Caenorhabditis elegans: one gene and its partner. The protein of the gene in region 2 purifies or fractionates together with the protein of the main gene of each other region. This does not show direct contact. Each region holds a gene or a part of one and is shown on either strand. Other genes may lie near its edges. The genes, in order: asic-2 and lin-59.

Region 1 (5,811 bases), 3.8 Mb from region 2:
TATTAGATGAAAAATTTTACTTGATTTGTTTTTGTTTGTCTTGCTCACTTTGCATTTAATGCGTTATTTTTGTTTTTTGGATGTGGAGGATGTTTGGATGATAAGCTTAAAAATGATTTTTTCTTAATTGCAAAATAAGTTTTTGATTAGGATCAAATTGATGCAGACTTCCAAAATAGGTCATATAAACGAAAACACAAGATTAAGTCTTACTAGAACCGACATTATTTTCCTCTTTGGATAGCCAATTTAATGACTTCATAACTAAATACGTTGGAATTTCAATGCAACACTTATATATTTTGCTAAAGTGTTCTCCTGCAGAAAGTTTTTGTTTTTAATCGGCTTCAGATTCAATTTATTTCTTGTCCAAACTGTCTTTCATGTGAGTGCTGAGTACGTTTTTTGAAAAATTTGCAAAATAATATTCAAAATTCATTCAGAAAACGAATTCTCACGAATATTTCATAGAGCAAAATTTTAGTTTTACCTAATATAAATAAAAAATACCAACAGCTAGAATAAATATATTTTTTCTTTAACAGGCACATAATGGGTACTCCTATTTGAGAGCTTATTCTTAGTTTTAGATTTAGGTTTCAAATATCTACTTTTACTTTAAAGTTATTCAGAGTTTTTTGAAAATTATTTCATCGAAACAGTTACTCAAACTGTATCAAACTGTATCAAATGTATTCATTTCTGTCATCAGTCTTTTATATTCTCAACAAGTGTAGACTTATTGTAGTATAGTTCAAATGAACATATTCTTGACAACCAAATGCTAATTTATTTCTTCTTTTTCTCCTCATCTCCTTTATTCTCGATATCGTCAACTTCCCCATCGCTGCCGCTCTCCATTTCTCCGTGTTTTTTCTCCAAATGATCGATTTCCTTTTTCACATCTTCCACGTCCTGGAATTTACTCACTTTGTTCAATTCGTTTCTGGTAGTATGAAATTTTCAATATTTGTTTTTGAGGTTTTGAAAAACAGTAATAAATATTAATTAAATCTCAATAATTTCGAGTCGGCTTCTAATTTTGAAAAGTGTGAATGTGAATTTCAAAACTTAATTTTTCTAGATTTTTGAAATTATAAATACTTGTTTATCTATTCACAATCCAAATAATGACAGAATCCAAAAAAAATTTTTTGCCTAAAACATGTAAGCAAAAGTTATCGTGTTTTCGGCAATTTTTTTTCGAGAAAAGTCAACGGAACATCTTCAGCCCTGGTCCAAGTTCTTTTTAATGCTAATAATTATTCGCAAAAATTATAGAATGTACCTTGATTCTGTGATCATTTTCAATTTCATCATCGTCTGGAGCCATTTTGATAGCTCCACCAGTTACACAGAACGCACCCATGACTAACATTAAACCTGTCATCTGAAACTTTAAGGCATTTTTCGTAGAGTAAAAAAGAAAATATAAACCTCAACAACAGAAATAACGGATAGTCCAAGCCACAAACCGGCTTGTCCTCCCAAGTCATTAATAACGTTGCTAACCTGAAAATATGATAGTATTTTGTAAACTTAATTATATGGACTAGAATCTTATTTCCCGCTTACCGTATATCCTGCAGTTTCAGTGTATAGCTCGTAGCTGAGCGTTTCCAAAAACACTTGTATAATCATTCCATTATTGTTGTACCATTTCTGACAATCTGATTTGCTTGAAAACTTCGAGTTTGTTGAAGAGCAGCTTCCAACCTTCAATGATAGGAATATAGACTTTAAAAAATATAAACTTGAAAAATACGTTCTTGCTCGAGACTCTTTAACGTGAACGTACCCCAGCAGTAGACGAAGTTGCGACGTAATAACTAGTGGATGGAAATTGAGCAAGAGATACTGTTGGTGTGTAGGTTGATTCATCACAGGGAGGATTACAATTGCATTCAACTAATAAATCAATATTCGGAGTGGAACTTGTTTGATTTCCTTTCAATGTTTGGAGGCAGTCCACTGAAAATTAATTGAATTGGTCGTAATCACAAAAAAGGTGAACCATACAATCTGCTTTTATTGGCTGACATGCTGTATCTGTGGATCCGAGAGCTAATCTCGGATTTGCGCATTGGCATTTTGCAATAGTGTCTCTTTGTTTGCATCCATTGAAACATGTCTCCAGTGTGTAAATGAAATCCTAGAATTTGTAAAATTTTATGATGTTTTCAAAAGTCAAAAGTGAGGCTTTTATGTTTCAGTGACTTGTATTCAAATATTGCAGCCTTCGAACCTGTGAGAGTGCTCTAAAACTACTCACAAGTTACAATTTTTCGAAAACTCGGCAATTTTGATCTTAAAATATTTTTGGAGTGTTTAAATAATTGATCTTGTTATAAATGATCATGTATTATATAAATAATTACACAAAACCCTTCCTGGCAATTTTCCATTTTTAAGCGACTGAAGTTATGAAAAATCCGATACTAACAAATAAATAAATACAAACTCGTTGTAATCAAAATTCAGTGAAGATTTCTTTCTTATTTTATTTTGTGTAGAAATTACTAGAAAATAATCCAAACCTTGTAATAATCCGAGCTATCCGGTTCTCGATCCACACATGTTCCATATGGTTTCTTTGCTCGAACGTTTTGAGTCTAAAGGTGTACGTATGAATTTTGAAAGCTATCTATAATCTCACCAAGCTAACAGAAACAGCACTTTCATATCCAACTCCTGCATCGATTCCATTTGAATCTAGTCCTGGACTACTCCCACGTGAGTTTACTCCAATCCGGGCACCCGCTAGTTTAGTTGTTGGCAACGAATCGGTATTCCCATTTGTTTTTGTTTGCTAAGATGTATTGAAATGCTCAAAAGTTGTTAAAAAAGTACTTACCGTGACCGTAAGCATCAATTTTAATCCAAATTGAATACCTTCTCTACTAACAGAATAATTGAGTGACGCATCTTCGTTAAATGAGTAGCATGCTCCATACACTGGATCAATGAACTTTGTGAAATCTGATCTAAAATTATTTTTTGTATTTTAAGAATTAGTTTATTGCCTGTCAGTTACAATGTTTGAGTTTTTTGAACCAAAAACTATGTGACCTAACCCAAATCGAAATATATTTTCAACTTACTCCGAGCAAGGAATACCCGCAAAACTACAATCTTGAATCAAATCCGCGTAAGTGTATAAAGCAGGAACTTTTGCCGTATCACTTATCAAATTTGCTTCCAATACAAGAGCATCTGCTGCTCGAGAATCCAAATCGTAGGTTTCATCGTTATCAGCCTAAAATAGATGAGCTACTCTAAATGCGAGATTGTTTCACAAACTAACATAGAGACCCCATTTATCAGTTGAAAATGTTCCAACAGTAGCATCAGAATATGTTGTCATCAGAGTATTAACACTTGAAAATGCACTGTTCGATTTTACAACACTGTATTTGTAAGGATTCATGTTGCACACGGTAACGACGGGAAATATCTGGATAAACTTGCTTGTAGACTTATTTTCTAAATTCATATTCAGTTCCAATTTGCCAGTAATAACGTAACAAACTTTTACAATTTCCAGATCAAAATAAAATCCTCGTAGTTTTATATAACCAAAAAGATACCTGTTTCTCGAAAAGAATTTCTGTGTTGACAGTGGCAGGATACGAAAAGAACTTTGCGATTAAAATGTAAAGTTCATATGCGAACATTCCCAGAACAAATAAAAATATGGCAATCCAGAAAATACGAGAAATCTGAAACTATTGCAAGATTTTATTTATTCCCAATCTATTCTTTGTTTTTCTCATTAAAAATGTGGTATTTATGGATTCAAATTTACATGCCCCAATCTAAAAATATCCATATTCTTGACACATTCTTATCTTTTCTATTTTTATGACATCATTCCGAAAGGGGAATGACGTCATTTCACAATGCTTCTTGACTGTCTAATTCTCTATCTCTTGCAATTCTTGTTTATTGACCTACCTTATTATTTGCATTTGCCACGTGTGGTACAACTGCTACAGTAGACCAATTGGAAAAATCCTTAAAAATCTGCACAAAACCGCCACCGCGCATCTTGGGCAAGTAAATGATTTGTTGTGTGTTTCTGTTCCAGAAAATGAGGTGCCCATGGATACCAAAGAAATTTCAAATGAGATGTTCTTTTGTTTGAAACAAAAAGACAACAATGTTTGCTCTTTTTCAAATGGAAAGCTGAGAATTGAAAAAAAATTGCTGGGCGAATTTTGCACATAATGGAGTATACAATTAAAATAAATATATCCAATTTTAGCAACTCGAAGATAACTCGTAAAATGGAAGCATATTCAAATTGTATAATACATATTACAAAAATGCTAGACATTGGTCAAAGATGTGCACACACAACTTTTGTAAACCGTTTCGACTTATTATTTAGATAGTTTAGTCTTTTGAACCATTTTGAATACATTTTTGGAAAATCCCCACTGATGCTACTCTGCTAGTAGGTCCGAATTTCAGGATCTCTTTCCTACATGCCTAAGACCCGCCATAATTTTCCAATTTTAAAGTTTTCAAGAAAACACAGTGTTCCTTGGCTCAAACTTAAAGTTTTTATAATATGACATAATTCCACATATTTACTTAAAAAGATTCCGGGTGGTTTCAAATCGTTCAGAAATGATTTAATGAGGTGTTGGTGTGTCACATTGATTGCTCCTCTCTTCTCTCAATCAAACATTACTCTTTTCATCTTCATTTCTCTTCTACTCTCCTCATTTCTTATTCTCTATTCATCTGAATCTTATAAATAAATGTCCTTAGTCTGTGTTGTATCACATGTCCCAACCAACAAGCGAACCTTCAATTTCCTCCATTTTGCACACACACACAACCACATACAAATATTTCCGTCATTTGGCCACTTTGTTCTGCCCCGGTTTTTCGTTTCGATCGAACGTTTTTGGAAGGGCATTCCATTTTATTCCTTTGTCTCTGTTGTGCCTTTTTCTATATTTGTATGGGTTTATCGATATTATGGCAGTTTTCCTATAATTTAAATTTTAGTAACATCTTCATTTGCTTTAAAAAATTCAAATCAATCGAACAAAAACCGAACTATCTAAAAATTGAATATTTTTAATCTAATTAACTGACTATTTATAATAAAGGAACAAATAATGGATGAATGCTATATGGAGAACGCTGTTTTTCTCTGCTTGTTTTCGTTAGTTTGCATCTTTTTTCCCGCTCAAACTGCCCGTTCGTGTTCGATATTCAAGGACAACTTTCAAAAGTATGCAAACGAAAATCTTACCAGTTGTTGGGATTTCTTCTTGGTTTTGTAAGTGAGCGGTTAGTGTGAATACTTTCAACTTTGTCGCTTGCAATAGTAAGAATATACATGAAAATTCAAAGCTTCTCCCTATCCGAAGACTGTCAAATAAAACCCAAATTTCAACCGTTTTTCAAATTCAGCTCATAACTTAATAGTAAACACTTTTCTGAGTTGAGTTTTGGTTTTTGAATTTTCAAATTTCCGAATATTTGCATGCTTTATTCCTCCGCTCTCTTTTTTTCGCATTTTCTGCAAAACGTTTGAATAATAAAAAGGCAGAAGGAGAAAAATTTGCGATCGCCTCTCCCACTCAATGCGTCCACAGAAACGAATAGTCAGTTGTGGCAGTTTGACGTGGTTGCTCTTTTCATTGCTTTTCATAAAAGTTTCTCGGAATTTGGTCTCACTTTTTTTTCGAGATTATTTTGGTTTGAAATTTTAAATTTGGAGAAACGACAGTACTGAGGTCACAATTTTGGAAGTTGACCAAATAACTTTTTTTGATACGAGTATTAAATTTT
Region 2 (5,232 bases):
GATAGAATATATGCTGAAGAAGAACTGAATTTAGGTAATTCAAAGTCAGGAGCCAGAATTGACAAGAGCGAGTTTAATTTTAATTCTGGCCGTGGAAAAAACTTCCGATTTTGATTTTCTTTTTGCGCTAAAAACATGGTGCATTCCGTCTGAGTGTACAAAAATCTATGGTATTTTTTAAACAAGTATTCATTTATTATAGATTGTTTTTAAAATTCAATCGGAACAATCTTTTATTAAAAAAATTGCAGAACTAGGCCATTTTAACCCGGTTTATCAAGTTTAAAATTCAAAAAAATTGATAATTGTTCTTTTCCGTGTGGAGTATACGATAATTGTGGCTGGATAAGCTGCAGGTGTGCTGAGCTCACTTTTGGAATATTCTGAAATTTCCAAAAGTTCAATAAGTATTTCCTGTAGAATGAACCATTATCTTAAAAATTGACAAATACCAAAAATACCAAAATTATTTGAAATGTCCTTCAAGTTAAACGCGTGGTAAGTGTGATAGGCATGGAGGCCTGCCTACCACGTGCCTTTACTCATGCCTACCGCCAAAGCACAAGAAAATGCCGTAGGCGGGAATGTAGGCAAACAGGTTAGAGGTAAGCACTGAAAGTTTGAAACAATAAACTTGCGTATACTACAAAGAATAGAAACCTCTGGAGTTTTGGCAAAGATACTTTTTGAACTTTCTTATTAATTTCCAAAATCAAATTTTTTTTTTTTGAAATAATTTGAACAATCTCTACAGTTTTACTTTCAAATATGAGAGTTGAAGATGCATACCGAACTGTGCGGTTCCTCGACGCAATGCATCACATTTAACGCGCAAGTTTCAATTATTACGGGGACGCCAAATCTTAAGAATGCGTATGGAACAACATATTTGACGCGCAAAATATCTCGTAGCAAAAACTACAGTCATTCTTTAAGTGACTTCTGTAGTGTTCGTGTCGATTTACGGGCTCGATTTTCGAAAATGTTTTATTTTCGAACTTTGACAGCGAACATGAATTGAAGTTATTTACAATTAAGAAAAGCGAATAAAAATTTCGAAAAGAAAACATTTTCGAAAATCGAGCCCGTAAATTACTGTACTTTTCGCCACGAGATATTTTGCGCGTCAAATATGTTGTTCAATACGCATTCTCAGGATTTAGTAATATATCTAGTGGCCACCCTTGGTTCCCATTCGAATGAACTCCCCTTCCTTCCTTCCATTCCCCCTATTCATTCAAAAACTTATTCTTCGTTTTCTTCCTCAACACAATGTTATCATAAAACGAGGAGACCGAGAGGCGAGAGAAGCGGGGATTCTCGACTTTCTTTGGCGCGCGACGATGCAAAAATTGCAGCCGCGCCGCCGTTGTCTGTCTCCACACTGGCTCATTGCCAAATGTGAGGAGATTGAGAGAGAGCGAGTTTGTGTGCAACCTGTTGTCAACTACGTCTCTCGTTATAAGACATTACATGCAGCATGTCTCGAATTAGAACCAATTGTCTGCACCTCTCCCTTGTTCGCTTCTCTCTCTCTCTCTCTCATACACACAAATAACACCAAAGTGAAACACAGGCCCCCATCCATCGGACTGGTGTCTTTCTTATTCTTTCCCTCCCCCCTCTCTTTACCCCCTGCATTGCTTCGAAAGCCAGCCAGCAGGCGACCGCAACGCACGACCGCAACGCGTCGCCTCGCCTTCTAATCGTTATTATATTCACTACTATTGGAAGACACCGACTTGTCTCTCTAGCACCCTCCGCCTGGGTTCCCGCTCCTTCTGAGTGACTGTCGAGCACGGCTGCGTCTCCTCATTGGACCGCTACTCTAACCATTTCGCATCGCCATCGCGGCCCTTGACATCCGTCTTTTTGTGGGTTTCCTTGAAAAGAAGCTTGTGCCTTCTCATCCCCTCCTCATCTCATAAAAAACACCCAATCATTTCCATTCAACTCTTTTTTCCTTTTCTTTATACTTATTAGTAATAGTAGTACTCATCATTGCAATTTCGTCATCACTTTCTTTGATGTTTGCATATACTTAATCTCATTATCATACATACTCATTACCTTAATTACCCCTCTCCTAATTAATTAGATTAATAATTCGAATTTTTAGCGCTCAAAAAGCCCAAGTTATTAAAAAAACTGAAACAAGGTCGACCTGCAAAAGGGTCGCACGAAATGGTCAAGTAACAAAGTGAGAGCCGCCGAGAATGCACGGGGCCGGCGAGCAGCAGCAACGTTACAGATATAATGCTCGAAGTGATGAGGTTGGTTTTATCAGTTTACATTCTTTTTCCTATTCCTATCTCCTCCTTACTCGACATGACGAATTAAGATGGGTGGCAAAACACCCTTGCAAATGACGTCATCGGTTAAGCAAGAACTCTCAGAAATTTCGAAATCATTTTCCATGTATTCCCCCACCCTCATTTTTCCATCATCATTCAATTCATTGCCTCGGCGAGACATAAACAATAACACCAAGTCTCGTGATGTTGTCATACAGCTTTTTAAAGTTCAAAAATCCTTTCTAATTCTATACCTCGTTTTGTTAATTGAGCTCCAACACGAATTTGACCTTTAATGTGCATGAAAACAAACCCAAATTATAGGGCAACAACCATGCAAACTTTGTGAAAAGTTTGAAATGGCAAGGTTGCATAATAATCGAAAATTGGTTTGGAATTTTTATATTACCAACTTTTTATATTGCACCAACTTTAACAGCTCATATCTCAGTTGCCATTTGCTCTATTTAAAAACTGTCAACTGACAAAATATTTATTAGTTAATTCTCTTTTGTTTGTAATTAATTAATAATTGATATCTTCTAAATGAACCGAGATATAGCTTTTAAAAATTCAGCAGTGTGATCCAATACTATTAAAAAAATACGGTAAGCTAGGTTATTATATCTTTTGATCATTTGAGCAATGGGTTGTGGTTATCGAATTTTGAAGTTTTGAACTTGTTTTAAAGAGCTTGACATGTAGAATAACTTTTTGGAAGAGCCCTCTGAAAATTGATATGTTCCTTGTTAGGTGGGTTGCTACTATTAACGGAAACTTGTATCAACTCTAGTTTTTTTTTTAATTTCCAGTCAAAAATTAACTGTTCTAATTATCATAGTTTTGAGCATTACAAGACATTTTAAAACTGATGCACCTTTTATTTTAATTCCCAGAAGAAACTCATTTTCAAACAAAATTTGAAGAGTCAAGTTTTTACAATAGGCACAGGCAGACAGACGTAACACCACTAACACAACCTAGTTTTACTTTTCCGTGTACGGTAGGCGTAGGTCATCTCTAAAGCCAGATCTGAAAAACTCAGTAGCTTGAACTCTACCAAAATTTCAAATAATTTTTGAAAGTCTAGCCTTTTATTTTTAAGTTTTAAGTTGTTTTTAAGTGCATAATAATCCCCAATGACGCTTTTGAAATTCCATTTGCTTAGCAACCAAATGGATTTCAAAACTAAGTCACAAATCCTCATTTCAAAAATAGATTCCTGCAACTCGTGATCCTCTTCTAAATATCACCCAACTATACATCCAGTAATCCCTAGTTGACATTAAAAAAAACCGAATTCTATAAATGCAACTCTTTCTTCTTTTTTCCCCATTTTCTGGATACTAATCTGCACTCTAATCTGTCCTCCTCGTTCTCGATCTTTATCTTTCATTCGGCCATCGCGACACAGTTTTCATCTATATTTTTCGACTCGCAATGTTTTGAAATTTATTCCGACAAATTGGGTGAAAAGAACGAAACAAGTACATATTTGGAACTTTTTGATTTTAATCTAGTAACCTTTCATGCATTGCGCATACCTTTCCTCAAACCTGATCCAACTTCATAAGACAAGTTCAAAATTTAGGATTGATCGTTCTAGACTGATCTCCTTTGATTAGTGGAAATTCAGATCTAAACTGGAAATTTGGGTCTTGCAACGAAAAACTGTTTTCAATAGATTAATCAGTAGATTAATTGTACCATCACTTTGAATCAGAACATCATACTTTTCCACTTGCTCCTGGATCTTCGGATTTAGGAGCATTTTTAGATAATCCTAACCCCAGCTCTAGATTAATATCCTGATTCCAGCAACACCATCATCCATCGACGTCTTCTCACCAATACCAACAGCAGGGTGCTCGACAGATGCACCAGATGCATCCGATCCAGGCGACGCTGATGTGCACCCCCACCACCACCTCAGCAGCAGCATCAACTTCCTCGTCGGGCGGTAGCAATAGTAGTGGTGGAAGTGGTGGTCACCGTCAGCAGGGGAACATTCTTCGCATCGGAAATTCCATCAAAATCGGTGACAACATTTTGGAGCCCGCAGGGACTCTGGTGTTCTCACAAGCCGACGGGACGCCGTGGACTGGGCAGAGGATCGTGGTAAACGGGAGTACACATGCGGTGAGTTATAATATTATTTTTTAATCTTTTCATTCTTATCAGTAATTGTTTAAGTTAGGTGTTTATGAGTTTCTTTTGTTTGAATTCATTTTGAAACTAAAGCATACACATATGATAACAACAAGCCATGCGATGTAATAAATGTCTTTCTTTTTTATCAAGCGAAGCAAATCCCTAGGGAATTATTACCTAGGCAACACCACAGCACCTCTTCCATCTCTAACCCCTCTTCTCAATTCATTTTGAAACTCTATACTCTTCAGGTTGTCAAAGCCAATCTCTTTCCAATTGGCACAACACCGCCCGTGCTCAACATGCAGTCCAATCAAAATTGGTACATGAATCAGCCGTCCGGTACAGTTCCGATGTCAAGTAATGCACCAGCAACAACGTCGTCTGCAACTCCTGATTCGGGAATTCAAAGTGTTCCGACGTCTCCGCCAAGTCCGAGCTATGCAATGATGAATGATGTGGATATAGGTGATCATGACGATGAAGAAGACGATGATGGTCCAGCTGATTTCACAGATATGCCACTGTTGAAACCAGTAGATGAGGATGATGATTGTTATGATGTTCCTTGTACAAGGTTGGTTCTTGAAAGTTTTGATAATCTAGGTAGGCAAACTTCCCAGTTTGTAGAATTATTGTAGGATTACTGTGGATATATTGCAACAGTTTTGTAAAACTTATTTTGAGACCAATGCGTTTATCGTGTCAGCATCCCACTTTCTGATTGTTATATTTTTTCCTCGATTTGGAGCTTTAATTGGCTTCTCTGATGTGAAACAAATTTTCA

What was found.
Region 1: the proteins of lin-59 (region 2) and asic-2 fractionate together in Caenorhabditis elegans (co-fractionation; one large-scale study listed by BioGRID). This does not show direct contact.

The regions. Positions count from the first base shown.
Region 1 is NC_003279.8:7,478,371-7,484,181, reverse strand, and holds asic-2 (Degenerin-like protein asic-2), read right to left. Parts: upstream 4,075-5,811; 5' UTR 4,048-4,074; coding exon 3,955-4,047; intron 3,720-3,954; coding exon 3,588-3,719; intron 3,455-3,587; coding exon 3,305-3,454; intron 3,257-3,304; coding exon 3,102-3,256; intron 2,985-3,101; coding exon 2,855-2,984; intron 2,810-2,854; coding exon 2,657-2,809; intron 2,613-2,656; coding exon 2,538-2,612; intron 2,153-2,537; coding exon 2,020-2,152; intron 1,972-2,019; coding exon 1,799-1,971; intron 1,717-1,798; coding exon 1,576-1,716; intron 1,513-1,575; coding exon 1,438-1,512; intron 1,391-1,437; coding exon 1,289-1,390; intron 916-1,288; coding exon 790-915; 3' UTR 677-789; downstream 1-676. Other genes in the region: T28F4.3 (Protein-tyrosine phosphatase), read left to right, coding at 1-6. UniProt on the Caenorhabditis elegans protein: Could form pH-gated heterotrimeric sodium channels that act as postsynaptic excitatory sensors in the nervous system, generating rapid, transient inward currents that fully desensitize upon extracellular acidification.
Region 2 is NC_003279.8:3,718,045-3,723,276, reverse strand, and holds the start of lin-59 (putative histone-lysine N-methyltransferase lin-59), read left to right. Parts: upstream 1-2,119; 5' UTR 2,120-2,216; coding exon 2,217-2,273; intron 2,274-4,112; coding exon 4,113-4,433; intron 4,434-4,696; coding exon 4,697-5,022; intron 5,023-5,232. UniProt on the Caenorhabditis elegans protein: Probable histone methyltransferase. Essential protein required to maintain expression of homeotic genes egl-5 and mab-5. May play an analogous role to the trithorax Group (trxG) proteins.